2 linked regions of the Schizosaccharomyces pombe genome follow. The protein of the gene in region 2 interacts with the protein of the main gene of each other region in a biochemical or structural test. Each region holds a gene or a part of one and is shown on either strand. Other genes may lie near its edges. The genes, in order: cdc48 and rbd2.

Region 1 (3,928 bases), on a different chromosome or scaffold from region 2:
AGCACGAGCCTTGTCAAATATATCACGAACGTTTGATTCAGACTCACCAAACCACATGCTAAGCAATTCGGGTCCCTTTACTGAAATAAAGTTGGCAGAACATTCGTTGGCAATGGCTTTCGCCAACAATGTCTTACCTGTACCAGGGGGTCCGAAAAACAAAACACCTTTGCTGGGAGTGACACCAAAACGCAAAAACTTTTCGGCATACATAACAGGCATCTGGACAGTTTCACGTAATTCACGCTTAACTTCTTCCAATCCACCAATGTCTTCCCAACGAACATTGGGAACTTCCACAACGGTTTCACGCAAAGCAGAAGGATTGCTGGAACCAAGGGCAAATCTGAAGTTATCCATTGTAACACCTAGAGAGTCTAAAACCTCGGCATCAATCTCATCTTCATCCAAGTCAATCATATCCATCTTTTCACGAATCTGTTGCATGGCAGCTTCAGAACACAAAGATGCCAAATCAGATCCAACGTAACCATGAGTCTCAGCAGCAATTTGCTCAAGATCAACGTCATCAGCAAGCTTCATGTTCTTTGTGTGAATACGAAGGATCTCTAAGCGGCCGGTGGGATCAGGAATACCAACATCGACTTCACGATCAAAACGACCAAAACGTCTCAATGCCGGATCGATAGAGTTAGGACGATTGGTAGCGGCCATTACTACAACATTACTACGAGCTTTCATACCATCCATTAAAGTCAATAATTGTGAAACAACACGTCGTTCAACTTCACCATTCGTTTTTTCACGCTTGGGAGCAATAGAATCTATCTCATCAATAAAAATAATAGCAGGGGAATTTTTTTCGGCTTCTTCAAACGCCTTCCGCAAATTAGACTCAGATTCGCCTGCCATTTTTGACATAATCTCAGGACCATTAATCAGGAAAAAGAAAGCGCCCGTTTCATTAGCAACTGCGCGAGCCATTAAAGTTTTACCGGTACCTGGAGGACCATACATAAGGATACCACGAGGTGGCTTGATACCTATACTTTTGAATAATTGGGGATGACGGAGGGGAAGCTCGACAAGCTCACGGATTTGAGCCATCTGGCGACGACAACCACCGATATCGTCATAGCCAACTTCTGCCAAGCTACTTTCTTCATCCTCACGATTAATGGGTTCACCTTCCCAATGAATAATTGTATCCTGGCTAACAATGCCAAATTCATCAGGAGCAACATCAACAACTTTAAATTCAACTTGACGCATACTACCCCGTACAACGAAAAGATCGCCCTTTCGAATAGGACGATACGCTTCAACAAAGTACGGCTTAAGGTAAACATCAAAGAGAGAACCAGTAAGACCCTCGACGGTATCAGCCAAGGGTAGTACTGAAATTCGTTCAGCATATTTAATATCTGGACAAGGATTGATCGTTACAATATCGCCTAACCTTACGCGCAAGTTGTTACGAACAACACGATTAATTCTTGCTACGCCATCTTCCATTTCTTCGTCAGTTAAAACAATCAAGACAGTGTCTTTCCGTCTCTTTCCTTTAACGACAACTGTGTCACCACGGAAAAGTTGTAAAGTCTCCATGGTATTGGACGACAATGTGATTACTGAGTTATCATCGTTGGTAGCGTCATCGACCACTAGAGAATTTGGTTTTCTTTTTTTACGAAGAATAGCTGTTGCTGTGTCTTCTGCACTATATGTACTGAGCTTGTTAGCATCGAATTCTAAAAAAAAGTTACTGCTACATCGAAAACATACTCTTTTGGAGGGTTTTCACCCTGAAGGTGTTCCACTTCTGGTTTCTTATCGGTCATGGTGGATGGTGCGTTCATTCGACCATGCACCATGCGCTTATATATGAGCATTCAATTTATAAAGATACATGAAATTATTGCTCAAAAAGGTAAATTATTTCTAAATATTCTTCTAATTGTTTTTTTTCTGTATAATAACATCTGTAAGCAGTTGAGTCTTTCTGCTACATAGCTGCCTCGCAAGGTCGTTACTACCAATTTCCATTATTTTCGCTAGATTGTTTTTATTTAACGCATCTCTAGAAAACACGTATTGTATAAATTGCCAAATTTAATTTATCTATTCTTCTTTTACCAAGGAAACGTCGTTGCTATTAGAATGTTCCAAGAACATCAATAGTAAACAATTTTCTAGTAAAATCTACGAGGAAATTTTAAACTACAGAAATGCAAAAATTCGAACGACCGCCCTATATCTAAATGTGCTTAAAACTTCATTACTAAGCATAAAATAAACATTTTGAGTGTTATCCGTTTTCAATTGAAATGAAACTTGGTTGGCGGTTTAGTAAGCTAAATATTTTAGTTTGAAACCCTTGCAATATTATTTATCATTATAACTATAAACATCAATTTTCTAGAAAGCGTTTTGTAAAAGTGTTTAGCAGTAAGTTAAGGCTAATCAAATATTCTTCTTTTATGGTTATTGATTGTATTGCACAATCAATAATAAAATTAGTTCAATCTTTAATAAGGAATTTAATGTGTTTTAAATATCCATACTTACTGTTCGTTATATGGCTTATGGTGTGGAATCCTTTATGATACACGCTGTCAGGCTCATTGTACAAACTGCTGAATCCCTACCTTAGTGGCCATAAAAATTAATCAATTGTAAAATGGAGGAGGGAATTTTATTAAAAAAATACGTTGAAAGTATGTTAAAAATAAAAAACTAGCTCTAACTGTTGCAGGTAGCGATAAAGACATACGTTACATGGCACTCAGCGATTTAGCTGCCCGACTTAATGATGCAAACCATTTGAAAAATCTCAAATTGGAGAGCTTTCCTGATACACTCGATGTTTTATTACAAGCACTGAGTGATGCTTCGCCAGAGGTTCAACAAGAGGCAGTTCGTTGTGTTGCTATAATTTCTAGCAAAATTCCACAAGATAAGTTAAAATCTACTGTTGAAAATTTGCTTTCTGGAGTTGCTGGGAAGAAATCGAAAAATTACTTGTCTGCTCTCAGTTTGCTTTTGTCCAACTCGAACGTCCAACCTTTCGTAAACAAATTTTATACTTCGACTGTATTCCCTTCATTTTTACAAATTTTAAAACAGTACAACGTTGCTCAAGAGGAATTTTTTGCAATTCTCTGTGTGGTCTGTGATTCTCTAGAAATATACCATTCTAATCTTTCGACTCTTCTACCTAACAATTTTGAATTGTGTATAGACGTATTCCAAAAATGTACGACACAATGCCAAAGAGAATTAATTATTAAAAAGGCTTGCTATCTCCTTTCTGACGTATCACTTTATGGGCCTCGCTTTGCATACAAATATATAATTGAGGTGCTTGATCGAGGTTTGGGACCCTCGACCCAAATGTCCGAGGTAAATATTTCTATTAAATTGCTTAACGAAATACTTCTGTCATCTAAAAAAGAAAAAGATTCATCTACATCATTCATCTCAACAGCAGTTGCTGACTACACCAATAAAATATTATCGTTATTAAAGAAGGAAGAAGCCCCAGATGAGTTAACGCAAAAATTGTTGGAGGTTTTAGGATTGTTATTAGAGTACCAACAAGTGAATATTTTGAAAATTTGGCCAGAATTACATGGTCTCTTAATCTCTAAAATTTCTTATGATCCCAATTTAATATCTGATACTAATGATGAAGATGATATCGCTGACTTTCTCGAAGAAATGAGTGACTATAGCAGCATTTACGAAGATGAAGAAGATGTATCTTGGATTGTTAGAAGAGAATCTTTGAAAGTCGTTTTGTCTGTAATTTTGTCACGTTTAGAGTATTTGCCTATAGTCCTTCAAGCACTAGGGACTTCTGTGGTTAGTAAGTTAAACGATAGAGAGGAATCTGTTTGCTTGATTTCTATCGAAGTATTAAAACAAGCATTCTTGCATGTTCCTCGTTGGATAGAGGTGTATGCAA
Region 2 (3,928 bases):
TCAAAGAGTAATTTGGAGAGACAAAAGTCTTGGTGAAGACGACTTTGAGGGCATGAGAAGCGAAAAGGCTAGTGGATCTTCTGTACAAGGTTGTCAGAGGGTCCTTGAAAAAGGAAAGCGAAATCCTGAATCCGCTACCAATGTGGCAATCTTCGTGAATGTGATAACTTTGATTGACTTTCAAACAGATATCGTAATCTCCGTAAATGCTCCTTTACCTAACACTTCCTCAGTTCCCTCTTCTGTTGAAAACATTCCCCCTTCTGATCAAAGCATCGTTCGCGCTGCTCTCGAAACAATACAGCGAGTTACTCGATCTCTTGTACTTGTCGATAAAACAGTATTTGCTTAAAGGATGATGGACATAGGCAAGCAAATTAACTAGCCCACAACACTTAATTAAGATTTTCATCTAGGGAAATACTTTTCAAGTTTTATTTTTCTTTATCCGAAAGGAATTGTTTCTCTTATTTATAAAAACCGGTTATTCCAACTTGTATGAAGGGTTTTAATAAAAACATCTGATACTTGATAACCGATTAGCAATGGTTTTCACTTTTTCTGCTATTATTTTAATTTTCCCATTCTTCCATTGTTAATAGTATAAGTTTCACTGTGTCTTTACAGTTTAATGTTTTATGATTTGAGAGTACAACGTAAAACGCTAGTTTCCAAAGAATAACGGAAATTACAATTTCAAGGTGTTTTGATTGTACAGCTTTTGTCCTTTACACTGCCGCTGTAGGACAGTGGTGATTAAAACAAGTTAATCATAAAGAATTATTAAACATTAAAATACTTTCTAATTGTCCCTAACTCCGTGCAAGTAAAGAACAAATATAGCGAATGAAACAATCTTTATGATTGAAACCTGTAAACGACTGACTAGAAAATACTGAATAAGAATTACCAAAAGATAGAAGATCTCTTCATTGAGAGGAGCTTTTCCACCCTTTGCAATAAAGAAAACAAACATTTAGGATATCATCATACGAAGAAGAACAGAAAAGAAGTAAAAGACAGAAAGTTCATCCCCCAAGACGGGTTCCTTTTCCGGGGAAAGAAGAAAAGGTCGACAGAGGTTCCGCAATGGGGAGTTGAGCATGCGACAGTTGATCAAAAGAGTGATAGTTTTTTACCCAAGACTGGAAGATTGGGTCCACATTTTGAGCCCAGCTTTTTAAGGGGATAGAACCAAGCATGAAAGGAGTACAATACCCCATAACAGCTCCGGATGCATGCCCGATAAAGCTAGCTTTTGGAACCAATATGGTAGTCATAATTAGGTAAATAATAGGAAAACAATATGCAGGAATGCTGAAAAGATTAAAAAAGCTGATTCTAAAAAATAAGTTAATAAACCGCCATCATTTAAAAGACAAGAGAGGTTCGACGTTTGCAAAAAATCATACAAACCAGGTTGTTTCTTAACATTGTGAGGAAAGAAGACGTGTGGAAGTATGCATCTGCAACCATAATTATAAGAAATGCTTACAATCGTTGTGGAGAGTGAACACAGGAAGCAGAGATAAAAGCAAAAGCCCATCCACTAAGTCCAGCAATAGAAACGTAATCTTTTCTCAAGAAAAAATGGTAGACAATTAAATGCATAATACCCGGGAAAAGAGTGTAAGGAATGACCGTCACCAAAATGCACGCCAAAGTGCCTTGCTTCTTTTCAAATTGAGACATTGCTGGCAACAGGGATACAAAGTTAAATACAATATGCAACATTGAAAGATGAAGAGTTACATAAGTTATAATTTCATACACTACTCTCTCCGTTATTAATTAAAGTACCAAGGAATTTTAACTTACGCTGCCTTTTTTGCAACAATCCTATCCAGCTAAGAGACAGAACCCCCGTGGATATTCCAAAGAAGGAAAGTGCATACACCAGAATGGCGATATAAGTTATTATTTGCGTCCATATCGGTAATTTCAGAATGAACTCCTTTGATCGTCCTAGAATCATGAAAATCATCGAGAAGCTACTAATTTAATATCCGTACAATTTTGATTTAATAAATTTTTCAAAATTAGTTCAAAGGGGACTGAAATACGATCTGGATACGCTAATGCGGCATATGGTTCACGAAGGAAGATCCGGTCACCTGAAGCGAATATGAGAGCTCGCCTTACGTTTGCAGACAAACCAAAGGAAAGCCAAGGGTTTTATTCAAAAATATTGGTTTTATTTTAAAATCGCACGCTTACCGTGTGGAGTGTGAGCTATTTCTACTCATTAGCACAAAAAACAATATAACCGGTTTAAGAATATATATGAGAAAAGAATTATGACTTTTAGTCGTGATTCGAAAACGAATAGCACTTTAAAAACAATTAAAAATTCTAGATATAAGAAGTTGTAGCTTCCAATTTCAATGCTAATATTATATTAGAAATATCAAATTTTTCAGGGGTGGTAACGACTAGGGAGATCGATGTCAAAGACAATATGAGTGAAAAAACTAGTCATTAGTATAAATTTCATTGAGTCTAAAACTGTTTAAGTCAAGGTCGTTAAGGCTGTTCGGTGCAAGCAATAAACGACTCGAAAACACATAATAATGGTAATTTAAATGGCACTCAAAAATCCGTCGAAAAAGGTTCATTAATAAGTCTTACAGCATAAGAAGGACCACACAACTGACATTCTTTCAAAATGTTTTTTTCTGATGCCAGTTTGTAAGTTTTTTCTAGCATACAACTGCGATGAAAAGCATGCTGACAAGGAAATAAAACAAATGGTTCGGAAAAAAGAGGTTGGTTGCAGTGCCAGCATGATTCATTGGGCTCCAAAACAATGTACCTATTACGCATATTTTCAGCGTTAGTTTGTATTTCATGCGCAACTTCTGATGCTTGTCCGATTTCGAAGTCCAGCTGTTCAATTCTTTTCATGCAATGATCCAGTTCATCACACACATTATCACTTAAATCGTCCAGTTTTATATCTTCTGGCAATAGGCGAATAAGCTCGGGAAGTTGTAAAACCTCGGAATTCTCTAAAAATCTCAAGGTTTCTTTAATTCCACTTTTTTTGGAAAACATATATTTTGCAATAGTCTGCCACAAAGTTTTTTTCAACACAACATCTTCCTCTGGAATATTTGCTATCGTAGCAGCTAATTCACAATCATCTGCTTCTAAGGCTAATTCCACTCCTTGGCTATACAGCTTCATAAGCACCAGAATTTTTACTGCACTTCTCCGACAGTTAAATTGCAAGCATAATCGAATTCCTAAATCCATATCGTACAAAGGATGATTTCCTTGCTGTTCAATATAATTCATTAAGTAAGACTCATTAGAACTCGAATGACAAGCGTAAATGCAGAACAATGTATTATGAATAGATGGATCTACGCACCCCAAAACACCAGTAACGTATCTAAGGTATCTTATGGCCGCATTTTCCTCTACCGGTACGTGAGAACGCTGATTATAACTCAAGAGGGATGGTATCAATGCATGTACGTCCAAATCTGTTTGACGTTCCCAAATGCTGACAGTTTCATTCGGTCGATGAGTTAAAAGGGCAGTCGCATGCTGAATGAGGGTTTCTTGACTGACGCCTTCATTTAATGTCTCCAACGCTTTTTCATAGTTCTCTCTTTGTACCCAATAGTGCATTATGTAAGACTGGTCTTTCATAACGGTAGCAATTTGAAGTAACTGTTCTTCCTTACCATAGTTATTAGCAAGATTATAAGCTGCTTCACGATTTATCTCATCTTTGTATTGATTAAGAAGAGTTGAAAACTCCCGTTGAACCTGTTGGCGCTGTTGCATTACATTTTCAGGAAATAATTCGAGACGCTCTTTTTCATCAAGAGAATTCAATTTGGCCAGCATTAACTCTAAAAGCCAGTTAACTAACAACGATTTTTGAATTTTCATCTAATATATTATGTTAGAAATTTAA

The links.
Region 1: the proteins of rbd2 (region 2) and cdc48 form a complex in vitro, tested with the Schizosaccharomyces pombe proteins (one study listed by BioGRID).

Annotation. Positions count from the first base shown.
Region 1 is NC_003424.3:1,304,331-1,308,258, reverse strand, and holds the start of cdc48 (AAA family ATPase involved in ubiquitin-mediated protein degradation Cdc48), read right to left. Parts: upstream 1,815-3,928; 5' UTR 1,803-1,814; coding exon 1,747-1,802; intron 1,691-1,746; coding exon 1-1,690. Other genes in the region: knd1 (cullin-associated NEDD8-dissociated protein 1), read left to right, coding at 2,642-2,678, 2,717-3,928. UniProt on the Schizosaccharomyces pombe protein: ATP-dependent chaperone which probably uses the energy provided by ATP hydrolysis to generate mechanical force to unfold substrate proteins, disassemble protein complexes, and disaggregate protein aggregates.
Region 2 is NC_003421.2:2,244,016-2,247,943, reverse strand, and holds rbd2 (Golgi rhomboid protease Rbd2), read right to left. Parts: upstream 2,097-3,928; 5' UTR 1,985-2,096; coding exon 1,819-1,984; intron 1,773-1,818; coding exon 1,496-1,772; intron 1,342-1,495; coding exon 1,029-1,341; 3' UTR 701-1,028; downstream 1-700. Other genes in the region: Ran GTPase-binding protein Mog1, read left to right, coding at 1-352; pep3 (ubiquitin-protein ligase E3), read right to left, coding at 2,590-3,903.